Linked DNA regions of Caenorhabditis elegans. The protein of the gene in region 1 interacts with the protein of each later gene in a pairwise test. Each region holds a gene or a part of one and is shown on either strand. Other genes may lie near its edges. The genes, in order: hcp-1 and mrg-1.

Region 1 (9,192 bases):
CTTTTTGAACAATGCTTTTGTTGCAAAGGTGAACGATTGTATCAAATTTTCATAGTTTTCTCTCAAAAATATAATAGTGTAGGATCCCGTTAAACAGATGCTTTCCAAAAGTGCTCATTTCAGGAGTGGGCGGCAATTGCCGTTCGGCAAATTAATTTGTCGACAAATTCGGCAAATCGGCCAATTGCCGATTTACTGATTTGCCGGAAATTTTCAATTCCGACAATTTGCCGGTTTGCAGATTTGCCGGAAATTTTCATTTCGGCAAATTGCCGATTTGCCGTTTGCCGGATTTCAGATTTGCCAGAAATGTTTAGAGGGATTTATTATAAGAAGGAAACACTTAAAACTGTGTCTTTTTGAATTTTTTTTCCGTTGTTTCTACATATCTTCCTAGAATTTGTTTACTTTTCAAAATAGATGTAGGAACATTCATAGTTTTTTCACACACATACATACATACACATACATATTCCGGCAATTTACTGATTTGCCGATTTGCCGGAAAAAATCGCTTGCATCTTTTCGCGAAATTCCGAGTGTTGCAAAAGCATATTTAAAATATAAAAATCGTGAAATTTTTTTTGACTAACTTCCAAATTAGGATAAGTGAAAACTGAGAGTTAATTTGAAAATATAAAAATCTCCACAAAATCGAAGATATTTGCACTCGAAATCTCGAAAAATGAGCACAAAAAAAAACCAAGAAAGGGGTACCATAAACTTCCTCGCGGCGAGACCCATCCAATTAAATCCGTGTGCCTTTAAGTTCGCGTTTCAGAAAATTTCAAACTTACAATACATACTTTTCGGAGAATTTATTGCAATTCATGTTTCAGAGTCACATGAAAGATGTGTCACCAGGTGAACGATTCACCTGTTCTCTAGGCGTGGACACGGCCATTCGTATCGAATATAAGCCAGCCAAAAAGTTCCATGAAGAAGGCGGTTACATCACAAAACATTCAACTCATGCCACCGAGCAGACGATTAGTGTAAAGAATACAAGAAGTGGACCGCCTGTACTGTTAACAATCAAGCATCATGTACCACGTAGCACAGATGAGAAGATACGTGTGAAACTGACATCTCCAGTTGGCATTACCTCTGATCAAACTGATCAAATTAATTCAGAAAACGCTGAACCAAATGTTGGAATTATTCTGAACAAAGATAACAACTTGGAGTGGACTATCAAATTAGACGCTATCAGTTCGAAGGATCTATTGATTAAATGGATTGTTGAACATGCGAAAGGAGAGAACATCGAACTTCGCGAAAATTTGCAATGATAATAATCCTGTGAAATTTCTGAGCTGTAATATATCACTTTTTCACTATAAATGACGTCACCTTTATTCAGGATCTTCTTTGATTGTATTTTAATGAGACTAAAAATCGTTGATAAATTTAAAAACCCGTTTATTCTGACCCTAAAAGCAAATAATATTTGACAAGTAAATATGGGTTCAGAACGGGTATTCATGGCACATATGTTAGTGGGGGACGGTGAGAGATCTAGTGGGGTGAGAGAATCTTATAGCCTATTGGTGTTGGCAGTTTGATCGATTCTTCTTCGATGGAGTTTCGCGAGCCGACTTCTCCAAAACGTGATCCTCCGGATGATGATTTGAAGCATCTATCTGCCGGGCAGTAGTATTCGACATGGTTTGAAGACGATCTTGGAAGGAGTTCTGCGCATCTTCGAAGGCATCCTCATGAGCAGAGTTTTGCGGTTCGACAAGTGAGCTTTCGCGGCTCAGTTGTTTCACACTGAAAATAAAACGCTCAACTTGTCAATTTTAATACATGTTCAACTCACCCAAGTCTTGCTTGCTCGATCAGTCCCATTACTCGTGGCGGCGTCTTTACACCCTTCAGCTGCTTGATCTCGGACTGAAGTGTCATGATCTTGTCCTTATACTCCCGCTCGTCATCATCAAATGCATCACAAACTTTCTCCAATCGCTGGATTTCGATTTCAGCCCTCACCAACTTTTCCTCAAGTTCCAGAATACGAGAATGTGCTTGTTCCAGTGCTTCCGACTGTTCTTTATTTTCAACTTGAATCAAAGTGATGTCGTGTTGAGCTTGTTCTTCGACTTCAATGACACGACGGTCAGATGCTTCCATCTTCTCATGCATTTCTCCAAGCTGTCGTTGCATTTGCGAAAGCGATTGAGTGAGAGTGCCGAGTTGCATTGCCTGCGACTTCCAGACATTTGCTTCTTCCAGGCGAGCCTCAAACTGCTGTGAGATTGTTTCGATCCGCGACTCCAGAGTAACAATCGTGTTCTCTTTCTGAGAGAGTGCTTCCTCTGCAGCCTCGAGTTTTTCGTTTGCATTGCTCAAAGACGAGTTCCACTCCAATCGGATCGATGCTTTCTGTAAAATTTATCAATAAATTTGGAATTAAAAAAATGTCCGTTAAACTAACCTCCACTTCGAAAGCTTGCACGAGGTTTAGCATCTGCTCCTGAACTTTTTCGAGTTCTTCGACTTTCTCCTGCTTTGCGTTTTCGGTGTCAGCTAGGGCCTTTTGTGCAAACTCAATTGATGCTTGAAGCTCTTTAATGCGTGAATTCAACTCCTCTGACTTGGCTTGAGATTCTTCGATTGTACTCTGTGATGTCCGAAGAGTATCAATTACGGATTGGAGGCGTTCTTGTTCTTCCTTGTGCTTTGCAGCTTGATCCGCGTTCTGAAAAAATACAATTTTATAAATATAAAAGAGAAATTTCGTCAAACCTCAACATCTCGGCTTTCAATCTTGGCCACTAGTTCCGCAAGATGTTCTTCTTGATCCATCATTGCCTTTGTAGACTTTTCTACTTCTCCACGAAGCTTATCAATAGTCTCAGCGGAAGTCCTCGTCAGTTCAATGAGCTCGGCGTTTGCAGATTCCAACTGAGAAGACATTTCGGATAACTGATCCATATTCAAGTTAGTATCAATTTCCATCTGCTCATTTTGACTTTTCAGCTCACAGATTTGCGATTCAAGTAGTGACACTTTGTCGGTGAAGTCTTGGATGGTTTTGCTTTTTTGAACGTTTTCAGCTGTACTACTCTCGATAGCAGTTTCTAACTCCTGAATTTTACCTTCCAACGAAGTTACGAGATCAGAAGATCTGCCTTTTTCTTGAACAGCAGCGTCAAGTTCAGCACGAAGAGCTTCATACGATTCACCTTGTTCTGATTTAAGAGCTTCCATAACGACTTGAACAGCATTGGTGTCCTGGCGAGCAGTTTCAAGCTCGCTTTGAAGATCAGAGACTTGCACGTTTAACTCTTGAACCCTGGCATCTGAAGTTCTCAAGTCTTCCTGAAGACGATCAGTGAGATCCGAAAACTGCTGAGCCAAGTCGAGTTGAGATTGAAGCTCCAAAACCTTACCGTTGGAATCCTTCAAATTGGCACGAAGATTGTTTAATTCCTCCAAAGGTTCCTTCAAATTCTCCAACAAAGATTCCAACTCTTTGACTTTATCTTCAGAAGCGACAGCATCAGCCCGAGTTGATTGCATTTCTTCTTGGAAGGCGGTCAATGAAGCTGTCATTTCAGAAATCTGTGCTTCAGACGAATCCAACTTCAACTGCATTTCCTTATTCGCTTCAGTGATGACAGAAAACTCCCGACTAGAAACTTCAATTTGCTGTTCGAGTTCAGACACTTGAATATTCAATTCTTGGACCCTGGCATCTGAAGTTCTCAAGTCCTCCTGAAGACGATCAGCGAGATCCGAAGATTGCTGAGCCAATTCGAGTTGAGATTGAAGATCCAAAATCTTATCGTTGGAATCCTTCAAATTGGCACGAAGATTGTTTAATTCCTCCAAAGGTTCCTTCAAATTCTCCAACAAAGATTCCACCTGTTTGACTTTATCTTCAGAAGCGACAGCATCAGCTTGAGTTGATTGCATTTCTTCTTGGAAGGCGGCCAAAGAAGCTATCATTTCAGACATCTGAGCTTCAGACGAATCCCATTTCAACTTCATTTCCTTACTTGCTTCAGTGATGACAGAAAACTCCCGACTAGAATCTTCAATTTGCTGTTCGAGTTCTTCATTCTTTGCTTTCGACATGGCAAGATCGGCTTGAAGTTCTTCAAAATTCCTCAGAGAAAGTTTCAACTCTTCGTTTTGCAAATTGGATGACTGAACCTCACGTTCAAGCTTTGAAAGCACCTCAATAGAAGACTGAAGTTCGTCAATCTTTACTCTTGACAGTTCAATATCCAATAAATACATTCGATGAGCCTCTTCCATCTTCAACTCCAGATTTTCCACCTTAGTGACGGCAACATCAGTTTCTTGTTGTGAAGATAAGAGTTGAGCAGCCACCATCTCCAATGAAGACGTTAGTTCCGCAATTTTTTCGTTTGAAGATGTCAGATGTACATTCAACGAATTGTTTTCATCAGACTGTCTCTTCACTTCTTCCAACTGCATCTTCATCTCAGAAGTCAATTCCTGGATTGTAGCTTGCGATGCCTCCAACTGTGCATTGGGCTCACTCGTGGATCCTGACTCAAGTTTTGCAGCTTCTAACTGGTTCTCCAAATCAGAAATCTCTTTAATCATGAGCGATCTGAACTCTTCGAGTTGTTGCTCGAGCTCCACAACACGAGAATTATTGGTGGCTTCAAATCGCAGCTTTTCGACCTGAAAAATAAAAATATATATATTGATTTGTGATTATTCAATTAAGCCAACCTCTGCTTCAAGGCCGTTCACTTTTTCCTCGGCATTCTTGATGTTTTCGGAAGCTTTTTCTTGTACCACCATTAACTCTGCTTGAAGTTTTTCTTTGTTCTCAGACGACAGTTGCACCTCCAATTCAAGTTGTTTGATCTTGTCGTGAAATTCTTGGATCTCCAAGTTTGCTTGTTGGGATTTGAGGGCGAGTACTTCTGCCTCCAGTTTCTCCATATCCTCAATCATCATCTTGCGAACAAGTTCGTGCTCATACTTCAGCGATTCACTTGTTGTTTGTGATTCGGTGCGAATCCTTTCCATCTTAAAAATAATTAATTAAATTTACTTCGGCAATAAATTCTATAAAAACCTCTTCACTGAATCTCGCTTCTTTCTCTACTAGATCGCGCTGAAGACTTTCGTTCATTTGTTTGGTATTCTCAAGCTGTTTGATTGCTTCTTGATGGCCTCCAATTAACTCCCGAATCCGATCTTCCGAAGCAGTCGCTCCTTGTTGCATCGAATCTACTTTCAAAGCCTTCTGGGTCAACTCCTCGATTTGAGCGTTCAGAGCAGCAAGATTGTGTACCAACTGATTCTTCTCTTCGTCAGGCTCTTCCAGCTTCAAGCGTAACTCCTGAACTTGTTTCTCGAGAACTTGTTCTCGTGCCTTAGCGGCTTCGCGGTCAGATTTTGCCTTTTTCATTGCAGAATCTACTTGCTGAGTCAGCATCTTTTCCTCAAAAATTCGAGCTTCTTGAATCTCACTGAGCTGTTGACTGTGACTTTGACGGAGAAGCTCGATCTGCGACTGAAGAAGTTTGATTGACTCCTCATGCTCGGAATTCTGCTCCAACATTTCAAACTCGTGTCTGAAATTATTTTGTTTTAAGCTATAAATACGACAATTTCTTACAGTGAGAAGTCAATGTGACCTTTGACAGGAAGCACTGGGGACTGGGGGACATCTCGGACTGGCTTTGTAGGCTGATCTACTCCTTTGGCGATTTCCGTGAGAAGCTGTGGATTAGATACTGTTGGAGTACATTCTCGGCTCAGAATCTGGCTCATTGGAGTACGAGAAGCAGTAGGCGTAGTCTCTCCGTCAAGTGCCAATTGATTATCGAAATCATTGGACAGTGTGGCATCGGCGTCCGTCTCGTCGCTTTCTTGAACCATGCTCAGGTTGCTCGTGCAATTTGAGGTGTCGTAGAGCTCAGATTGTTCTAAATTCACATCAACATTGCTGCCCGGAGTGATGGAAGCATCGTTGGTTCCCACGAAGGATGCATCATCAGTAGCCAAAGCTGTTACTGTAGACAAATCCAGTAGACTTGTGTTGTCGGCAGGGGTGATAGAAGAAGCAGAAGACGGGCGGGAATCATGCTCGAGGCAGGTCTCCTCCAGGTTGCTATCGGCCATATTGCCCGACGAAGTTCCAAAAATGCGTTTCGGTTCTCTTCCTAGTCGTGATTTAGGCGTAGCGGCGGAAAATGGCGACTCGGTTTGCTGGCGCTTCTGAAATAATTTATATTGTCATTGATTTAATTAAAATTTTGAGAAAATTCAACTTACATTTCCAGCTGAGCGCTTGTTCTCGTTGTCGAATATCGGCGATTCGTCCATTGTGAAAGAAACGTCGATTTATCTATAAATTAGCAATAATGATTATGGAAATTACACAAGGGATATTAAAAATCAAAAAGGGCGCGTGATTTGAAAAAAGGAGGAAAAAAGTACTAAACAGGAAATTAAGGGGAAAATAAGTTTTTAGAAATATATCTATTAAATACTGCGTGTGAAACTTTTTGACGTTATGTGGCAACAAATAAAGTAACAAAACAGTATTTTCCAAATGTCAGATAACTGAAAATGAACGTTCATGAATAATGAATGAATGAACGAAATGAAAAGTGCCGGATTCCCGCGCGTGGTGATTCAAAATTGAAACCTTCCCGCCATGTGCGGTGGAGCACGGTTGCTCTTACCGACCATAAGGTCAAAATATAATAGGTCTACAAGTGAAAATCGGTATATTTTATTTATTTTGCAGTTTGTGGCCTTGTAAAAATGGGGTTGATTGGAACAAAAAAATTAAAAACCATCGTTTGCGTTTTATGTAGTTTTCACAAATTTTTATTCCAAAAATATATCTTGTCTTACAATTCAAGTAAATATACATACACAAAATCTGAATTTAAAGTTTAAAATTGCTGGTTACTGAAACAATAAACCCATCATCCGGATATAAGACAAAACTTGCTGAAATGCAACATTTTCTTCGAACATTCTCAGGCTTTTCAGAATTTCGTTTTTATCTCCACGAAGTCGTGAATCGTATGACCATGTCGAATTTTGAGGACTACATTTTTGAAGATCTATAGGCCCACTCAAAGGATTATACCAAAAATCTCGTCCCATTTGGCTAGGCCTGTAATACTTGAATAATTTTTAAAAAATTCAGGTAATTTGCCAACTCAAGCTTCACATTCGGCGTTTCTCTCAATTGATTCGTTTTCCAACCATGGAACATGAAATCTAACTCTGGATGCCACATCATTGATGTCAGCCAGCCGTCTTTAGCCCATCCTGTTCCCTGTACAGTTAATATTGTAGATGTTGTGGTATTAATTTTAAACCTACTTTTTTCATAATTCTAACTTTTCCAAAATCAGTGGATACGCCAAATATTGCTCGGATACATGACTCGTAGGTGAAGAGATCATCAAAATTTTTAGAATTGTTATAAGCTTTTTTGCATACTTTCGTATTTGCAGAAGCCTGTGGGAACAACTTTTCGGCAAGGAAAATCTAAACAATAAAATAAAAATTGAAATAGGAAGTTACCAAGTTACATGAAGTGCTCCATTATCCGTTCCATGAAAACTATTTGGTAACTTGTACTCATAATCAGCAAACTCTGCAATTTTATTAAATTCATCACAAAAATTTCGAATAAAAAACTAACCGTTTAATAAATCAATAGCATATTGAGTATTTCTTGCAATATAAGATCCAGCCATGATCTCCCAATTATAGAATCTATCATAGAATGTAACATCAATTCCATCATCCAAAAACTCTTCAATTTTTCGCTTTGGATTCACAACACCAATATCAGCGTCTAAGAATAGGATCGCATCAAATAATGGGAGAATCTTTGCGGAAACACAGTGGCGGCGGAAAAATTTCTGAAATGTTAGCTTTTTTTAAATTAAAAAAAATTAGAACTTACATCTTTATGAGCACATTTGAAATCAGTATCAACTGCGAGAACAAATTCATAATTATGGATTTTGCAGTAGCAACGAACCGTTTCTGAAAAATAACAATAGAACGTCATAATAAAACATTCCAAAATGTTTTTTAAAGTTTTTAAAATTTCCAGTCAAAGTTTTGGAAAATTGGCAAATTTTCGAAAAATATGGGCTTTAAAGAAATCCAGGGCAATGTGGCATGTTCCAAGAATGTTTTAACATAAATAATTAAAAAAAAATTAAAATATTAAAAATCCTTTTAAAAAAACCAGTTTTTTTACTTTTTTTAAATATTTGTTTTTTTAAAATCTGTTTGTATAACACTATTAAAAAAACATGCGAATAGCAATATCATAATTCTCCGGTTTTGTGTCATTCGTAACAACCATCACAATGGCTACTCGATTAACAGGATGAACCTCTCCCATGCTTTCATCTGCTCCAAATAACTTGAATTTGATTAGGTCATTGAGCTGAAATTTTCAATACGATTAACCGTAAATATTTGCATGTAATAGTTCCCCATTGTTGTCGATTCTGCCCCTTACGGAGCTATCCCGACAACCTTACAGTACTATAATATTGGTTTCCCATTGAATAGCCCACTATTCTTAACCAATATCCGTACTGTTAGGTCATCCAATTATTATCTCTTTATTACATTTTATTTCGTTCAAATCTATCCATTATTCGCCGAGATATAAACTTATCTACAAATATTCACATTCAAATCTCGCGCCACTATCTAATAGTAGCGCGATCGCGGCGAGACCCACGCGTCTCTAACTTCTTGGCATCGTGCCAAGTGCAACGACCACCCGCGATGACGTCGAATATGTTTGTCAGTTGCGAAGCAATTCCGGTGAAATCCACACGTTTTCATTTTCCCAACGTGTTGATATTTATTAAGTTCGTTAGATATAATTCCTAAATAACCGTTTTGTACTATCCTTAGTCTAAATGACTCATAATACCATCATATTCGTCTGCAGAGGGTTTAACACCATCTATTAAGAACTTTTAACACCATCCTTTATTGTTCTTGACTGTATTTCCCTCTTTTTACTTGTTTTATCCTATTTAGAGTCCTGCTCTACCCACACGGGAGAGGTTGTATAATAAATAGGTTTTTGAGTATTACTTTGTTCGTATTACACCGCTTATCTCACATAATTCAGATGCTTTACTGGGACACACTGGGAGAGAGAGAGAGGGACCGGAGACGTGATCGATACCGACT
Region 2 (7,404 bases), on another chromosome or scaffold:
CCGTATTTTTAAAGGGATAGCAGATGGTTACCGAGCTCCAGTTGTCACAATGCGCAAGGTACTGCTCAGAGAATATTGAAGCTTTAAATAATAAATTTTGCATTTTCAGTCCGCTAGAAACCATGAAAAATCCACAGAGCCTCAAGCGACGAAAGAGAACGCTCCGCGGCTAGTCGGAAAACGTAGAGAACAATTCATAATCGGTGAGCAAGTCACGTGCACACAGAACGGAAAGCCATATGACGCGTACATCGTTGACATCATAACCGACACTGATGGGAAGGATTTTTACTGCGTTCACTTCAAAGGATGGAACAGCCGTTACGATGAGAAAATTCCAGTCGGCGAGGAGCAGGGTCGATTGTTCAAGGGCTCGGCCGCGAAGTACGCAGAGATGCTCGAGATGAAGAAGTAGATGGGATCTGCTAATAAATTGTTAAATTGCTAAAATTTTGTGTTTGTTAATTGTTCTTTTCAAGCTATTTGTACAATGAATTCTTACCGAAATTGACAAGTTCATATTGTATAAAATGCTGGAAATATTAGCTTTTGACAGACAAGAAACAGGATAGATGGAGAGAGAAAGGGGCACCCATGAAAAGCGAAGAAAAGGGGAAATAAATTAGGCCAAGAAAACCAGATAAATTAAATAAATTATTGTTCGCTACGAATCAAGCGGTTGTACAAGTCGTCGACCTCCTTCTTCACAAGTGGCACGATGATCTCTCCATCGTTATCGATATAAGCTCCGATAGATTTCGTGATTTTTCCCTGTCCAGAGCGTCCTTCCTTCTTAAACTCGGCCGACAGCGTGTACTTATCGTCGTGAGCCTTGATCTCCGAGCTCCACGCCCATTTTCTCGATTGTTTTCCGTCGACTTCGGTGGCCTCGTAGATGCAGTCCTTCTCGACGTACCACTGATACATTTGAAGAATTCCCATGCATATGAAGTAGGAAACCGAGCACACGGCGAGCACGATTTTCGACTTTGGGAACGGCTCGTAGTAGTCGTAGCCGCAGGCGAACGCGGAGAACGCGACGCCGATGAATGAGATGAGAAGACGCAGATTCATTAGATTATGCGATTCCGTCCATCCGACTTTGTCGTTCAGAATCTGAAACGAAAGATTTTAATTTTAATTTTAATTTTGGAGTTTCGGAGAGCAAACCTTTTTGACGACTTCATCAAGGGCATTCTTCACTGTTGGACCGTCCCATTTGTTCACAACTTTCACCGGCTCGTCCGTCATCTGAAAATTAATATATTTGAGAATAAAAATTGAATAGAAATCCAAAAAAACCCAAAAGAAATGAGCAAAAAGCTAGTGGTGACGTCTCAAAATTGGAAGTCTGCATTATTGCGTCGTGGTGTTTGCGTACTTTTTCGTGCGCGGCGCTATTGCATTTGCTTAGAAAACCGCGCCGCAGGGGGGTTTGAATTGCGAAAATGCCGTTGAGCTTTGAGAAAAGCTTTTTTTTTGTTTTTATCGATAAATTTATCGAATTTTCGATATTTTTAATCTATTTTTTGATTAAAAATCGTTCAAATATACATCATTGGCTAGAATTGCTGCTAAAACTCGCTTAAAACACCAATTAATCGATTAATTTCTTTAATTCCTTCAGATGTCTTCAAAGAAGAACTTCGAAGTCGGCGAGAACGTCGCGTGCATCTACAAAGGCAAACCATACGATGCCAAAATTACTGATATCAAAACCAACAGCGATGGCAAGGAACTCTACTGCGTTCACTTCAAGGGCTGGAACAATCGATACGATGAGAAAATCCCAGTCGGCGAGGAGAAAGACCGCATTTTCAAGGGAACAGCCTCGGAGTATGCAGAGAAACACAACGCAGAGCTGCCAACAACTGCATTGAAGCCGAAGAAGAAAAGTCTTGCGGCTGAAGCACCACGAGACGATCGTGATGACACTCCGGGGACGTCGAAGGGAAAAAAGGCGAAATCGGTGACAATTGCGCCGGTTATGACCGCCGACGATATGAAGGTCGAGCTTCCGAAGCCACTGAGAAAGATCCTGATCGATGACTACGATCTTGTCTGCCGTTATTTCATAAACATCGTGCCACACGAGTATTCAGTTGATCAAATCATCGAGGACGTAAGCATAAAAAAAATTAAAATATCATTTTTTCCGATTTTCAAATCCAACATTTTCAGTACATCAAAACCATTCCGGTCAGTAATGAGCAAATGAGAACGGTCGATGATCTGCTCATCGAATACGAGGAAGCTGATATAAAAATCACGAATTTGGCTCTGATTTGCACCGCGCGTGGACTCGTCGACTATTTTAATGTCACTTTGGGGTTGGTTAATTCGAATATGTTAAACAGATGCATGCAAATTGCACGTAGCCCAATGTTTAGTACCACTGCAACTTTTTTCGAACGAGGGACGAGGAAAAGCGGTTTCTAGCCCATGGCCGAGGGGCCGACAAGTTTCAGCGGCCATTTATCTTGCTTTGTTTTCCGCGTGTTTTCTTTAATTTTTCATAGACTTTTCCCGTTTTTTTCTTATTAAAACTAAATAAAAGATAAATAAATATTTTTGCAGATGCCAAAACAATTTCCAAGTGAAAAAATTATGTATTCAGTCGGCAAGTAGCGGTGAAAGTGCTCAATGTTATATGATGGATTACGGGAATACTAAATCTAAACCTTTTCTGAAACATGGTATATATTCTGCTTAGAGACTGAAACTACCCGATTTTCATCATAACGAGACCGCTGAAAAAGATTTGAGATTTTCAAAATTCAACTTTTTGTGCAAAAATCTCAGAACTTTTTGAGCGGTCTCGTTATGAAAATCGAATAGTTTCAGTCTCTAAGCAGAATAAATGCCATGTTTCAGAAAAACGATTAGGTTTAGTATTACCGTAATCCATCATATAACATTGACCACTTTCACCGCTTCTTGCCGACTGAATACACAATTTTTTCACCTGGAAATTGTTTTGGCATCTACAAAAATATTTATTTATCTTTTATTTAGTTTTAATAAGAAAAAACGGAAAATTTTTTTGAAAAACAAAAGAAAACACGCGGAAAACAAAGCAAGATAAATTGCCGCTAAGTCTTGTCGGCCCCTCGGCCATGGCCTAGAAACCGCTTTTCCTCGTCCCTCGTTCGATAAAAGTAGCAGTGAGTACACATAATGCCCTCCGCTTCGTAGAATAGTCGCCCCAATCCCACTTGAAACAGTTACGATGTAAGGATGAATTGTTTAGTTCCAGCTACCAACTGCTCTATAAGTTCGAGCGGCCACAGTACAATGACCTTGTCAAAAAGCGAGCTATGGAGAAGGGAATCGACATCACAAACCCGACCGCCCTGCAGGATAGTGGATTCCGTCCATCTCAAGAGTACGGAATTGTGCATTTCTTGAGAATGCTCGCAAAGCTCCCGGACTACCTGAAGCTCACTCAATGGAATGATCATGTTATTAACGTATGTTCGAAGTTCAACTCCTGGAGCGTCTCCTGAATCTGGTTTCCACACGGAATCTGTTTTTTTTTGGCGAAAAGGTGTAAAATTTGGAAAAATTAGGCCGAAAATTGGATCGAAACCGTCAATTTTCTCGATTTCAGGATCATAAAAAATCCCATTTTGTAGGGAATAAGCAGATTCACAAAACATTGATTTTTAAAATTGAAAAATGGGGAAATTGCCTTGTTTAATTTTAAAAATCAATTTTTTTTTGTGAATCTGCGTTTTCTCCACAAAATTGAATATTTTACGATCCTGAAATCGAAAAACTGACGGTTTCGATCCAGTTTGAGGCCAAATTTCCAAAATTTACATTTTTTCAATGCGTATCATTTTTCTCAACATTAATATAAATAAAAAATAGCAAAAAAAAACGATTTTCCGTGAATTCAGGAGCCCGAAATTGCTTTAAAACACGCCTATGGGACCACAATGACAGAATATCATGATAAAAAATTCAAAAAAATTTTATAAATTTTATATGATTTTTTGAAAATTGGAAAAATCTCAGTTTTCACCTAATTATTTTTGAATTACCGTCAATTGGATTTGTTCGATGGAGCGAGCTTGCATTATTTTCATTAATTAATTTTATTTTTTCTCGTTATTTGACTGGTTTTCTTCATTTTCTATGTTTTTTCCTCGGAAAATGAAAGAAATAAATAGGACAAATGCGAAATGTTTGTTAAAAAGTAATTGAAAATGCGTAAAACTGTGATATTCTGAGTTCCGACAAGCCTGAGATTAGTATATTTCACAGTTTTACTCATTTTCAATTACTTTTTAACAAACATTTCGCATTTGTCCTTTTTAAAAGCATAGAAAATGAAGAAAACCAGCCAAATAACGAGAAAAAATAAAATTAATTAATGAAAATAATGCAAGCGCGCTCCATCGAACAAATCCAATTGACGGTAATTCAAAAATAATTAGGTGAAAACTGAGATTTTTTCAATTTTCGAAAAATCATATAAAATCTAGAAATTTTTTTTTGAATTTTTTTAATCATGATATTCGGTCATTGTGGTACCATAGGCGTGTTTTAAAGCAATTTCCCCACTGAGCGTAGTCCCATGCTCCAAAAATAAAATAAATCAATTTTCAGCGCATCATGATTGGAGTTCACGATTTGATTGTGTTCCTGAATAAGAATCACGGGAAGTACTACAGAGGATCGTCTGATTATCAAGGTGCCTCCAACGACTACTATCGCCGATCTCTCGCCGCCGACGACGGAGTTGGAGCGAATCAATAGACTGATCTCCTTCATCATGTGTTCCATCCCAGACGATCTTCAATACACCGATATAACTTCAATAATTTTATACATTGTTCATTATTTTCCAAAGCTAGCCCCACCATTATGTTTTTGTGAAATCGTGGAGATCCATATTTTGTTCACGTTAATCTCACGTTTTCTGACGACTTCCACATTTCGCATTCCATTATCGTTCAATTTTCCGTTTAGTTGTTTCCCAACTATTCTAATGAATATGATTCTCATTTTCTTTTCAATAGCCCCCCACATTCATATTTTTCCAGATTCTTCTTCTCTTCCAACTCCCCGCCATTTTTAGCCTATCGAGATTTGATATAATGTCTGCGTGCCCCCAAAACTATTCCATCTCGCATTCCACGTGCCAGACTGGAAAGAAGAGGAAGACTGAAGATTTTTTTGAATATTAGAATATACTTTTTTCTTCCGATTTTGAAGTTTCATGATTAAGATGGTTAAATATTGAGAATGCTTATTGAACAACATAACTGACCCGCAAAATATCTCGTAGCGAAAATTCTTGTCGATTTACGGGCTCGATTTTCGAATTGAATTTATTTTTAAATAGTGACAGCGATATTTAATTTTCTTCTATCACTATTCAAACAATTCAAAAATCCGGGTCCGTAAATCGACACTACAGTAGTCATATTACTGTAGTTTTTGCTACAAGATATTTTGCGCGTCGGATATGTTGTTCAATACGCATTCTCAAAAATTACAAGAAGTTGTCTTTTTTTGAAAAGAAATTTTTGAGTCTCAAAGAAAAAAAAACATCCCAAAAGGGTTTCCTCTCGCTCAGCCGCTTTTTTTTGGGAAAATTCGGTCATTTTCTTTGATACAATTTTTCGACTAAAATATCAAAAATATTTAGCAAAGTATTTCTACACTTTCTACATGACCGAATTTTCGCAAAAAAAAGAAACGCCGAAATCATCTCAACGCAGTCGAAGATTTTGGCAAGAATAGCCAGTTTTAGGAGCATTTTGTTTGTGTTTGCAGGCGACGCGCATTCGCGTACAAGGCATTTTAATTGACGCGCAAAACATTTAATTCAGCGGCAGCGAATACAATCTTAAATCAGTTTATCAGATGGCGCAGTTAAATTTTACCACAACTGATATTTTAATAAATTGATTAATTAAAATCTAATTTTAATGATTTAAAAGTGTTTAAAATGATTTTAAAACGAGTATTCGAAAGATTCCAGACCTGCCACAAACATTTATTTTTTGATCTACTCCTTTTTCGTCCCACTCTCTCATTCAACGCGACATTTTTTCTCTGTTCAGGTGAGGAATTGTTTTGCATTTTTTGTCATTTTTTCCAATGGGTGGCTTGGAGTACGGCTGTTTTTTTTTTCTCACAGAATGGATTTTCTGATTTTTCGTGATTTTTTCTTTTCGAGTTGCACGTTGACAAATGTTTCACCGCAAAACTTCGCGTTTTTATCGATTTTAAGATTAAAGTATAGGGTTTCGAAACGACGCAAGTTTTTCTGAGAAGCGAAAAGGTGTGCGCCTTTAAGGAGTACTGTAGTTACAAACTTTTGTTTCTTTCAATTTTTTTCGATGTTTTAAAACGCGTCAACAAAATGTTGTTTTTTATTTGAAGGCGCACACGTGTTTATAACATTACGAAAATTGAGCCCGTGAATCGACACAAATGCTACAGTAGTCATTTAAATAATTACTGTAGTTTTCGTTACGAGATATTTTGCGCGTCATAAATGTTGCACAATACGCATTCTCAAAATTTTGTAGTGCTCCCGTAATAGTACTGTAGGAATTTTGTAGGATTACTGTAGTTTAAAACAATAACAATTTCCAATTTTTTTCTGGCTAGAGAAATTGTAAAATTTTCTGGGCATTTTTCCCCGTTTTTCAAAATATTGATTGATTTTTTTCTGCTATGCGTCTTCCATTTTTGCTTTAAAAAAGTAAAATATAAATAATATTTTTCAATTTCAGACGCGTTGGATCCTCCAGCACGGGACGGATGGGTGGCATCGACGATGACACATGGAGCAAAAAGGAGCACTCATAGGAAGGTAATTGGTCTGCAATTTAAGCCGTGGACTTCTTGGGCTTCTCGGGCTTCTCTTGGGCCGTGGGCTTTTGAAATCAAATATTAATATTTTTCAATTTCAGATGCGTTAGATACTCCAGCAAAAATTGATTGAACGGATGGACGGAGGGACTGTTGGACGAAGGTTGGACGGAAGGACGACAGCGGCGACGACTCATGGAGCGAAAAGGAGCACTCGTAGTATGGTAATTGGTCTGCAATTTAAGCCGTGGGCTGCTTGGGCTTTTTTCGGGCCGTGGGCTTCTTTGTTGTTAATGTGCGAAAACGTGACGCTAGCGCCATTTTCAGTCGCTCGTCATTAGTGTTCCTCTCCACCCTTTAAGTTTGTTGGCCAGTCCGAGGGCACGGGCGGCCTTCTTTGAGGACGTCCACAGATTTTCTTTGTGGATAGGGCTGCGATCTACCACAGGTTAGGTGGTGATCTAAGCCTCCCTCTCATTGTCCCCACAACCACACGGGAGATCCTTCGATTCTTTTTGAAAGATTAAAAGGACAATCCGTTCTTCAAGTGCTATGCACTGCGGATCTGGG

Evidence for each region.
Region 2: the proteins of hcp-1 (region 1) and mrg-1 interact in a two-hybrid assay, tested with the Caenorhabditis elegans proteins (one study listed by BioGRID).

Annotation. Positions count from the first base shown.
Region 1 is NC_003283.11:6,591,355-6,600,546, reverse strand, and holds hcp-1 (HoloCentric chromosome binding Protein), read right to left. Parts: upstream 6,354-9,192; 5' UTR 6,322-6,353; coding exon 6,271-6,321; intron 6,214-6,270; coding exon 5,612-6,213; intron 5,568-5,611; coding exon 5,066-5,567; intron 5,017-5,065; coding exon 4,714-5,016; intron 4,663-4,713; coding exon 2,749-4,662; intron 2,702-2,748; coding exon 2,438-2,701; intron 2,386-2,437; coding exon 1,823-2,385; intron 1,774-1,822; coding exon 1,545-1,773; 3' UTR 1,339-1,544; downstream 1-1,338. Other genes in the region: ZK1055.6 (Protein F37C4.5), read left to right, coding at 1-28, 840-1,292; ZK1055.2 (Nucleotide-diphospho-sugar transferase domain-containing protein), read right to left, coding at 6,913-7,126, 7,173-7,291, 7,339-7,506, 7,551-7,615, 7,664-7,886, 7,931-8,013, 8,293-8,425.
Region 2 is NC_003281.10:12,868,878-12,876,281, reverse strand, and holds mrg-1 (Mortality factor related protein 1), read left to right. Parts: upstream 1-1,627; coding exon 1,628-2,122; intron 2,123-2,181; coding exon 2,182-2,330; intron 2,331-3,250; coding exon 3,251-3,470; intron 3,471-4,614; coding exon 4,615-4,764; 3' UTR 4,765-5,008; downstream 5,009-7,404. Other genes in the region: cec-7 (Chromo domain-containing protein), read left to right, coding at 1-58, 110-415; spcs-2 (Signal peptidase complex subunit 2), read right to left, coding at 655-1,116, 1,171-1,251. UniProt on the Caenorhabditis elegans protein: Protein involved in the remodeling of chromatin thereby regulating various processes including transcription, chromosome synapsis and genome integrity.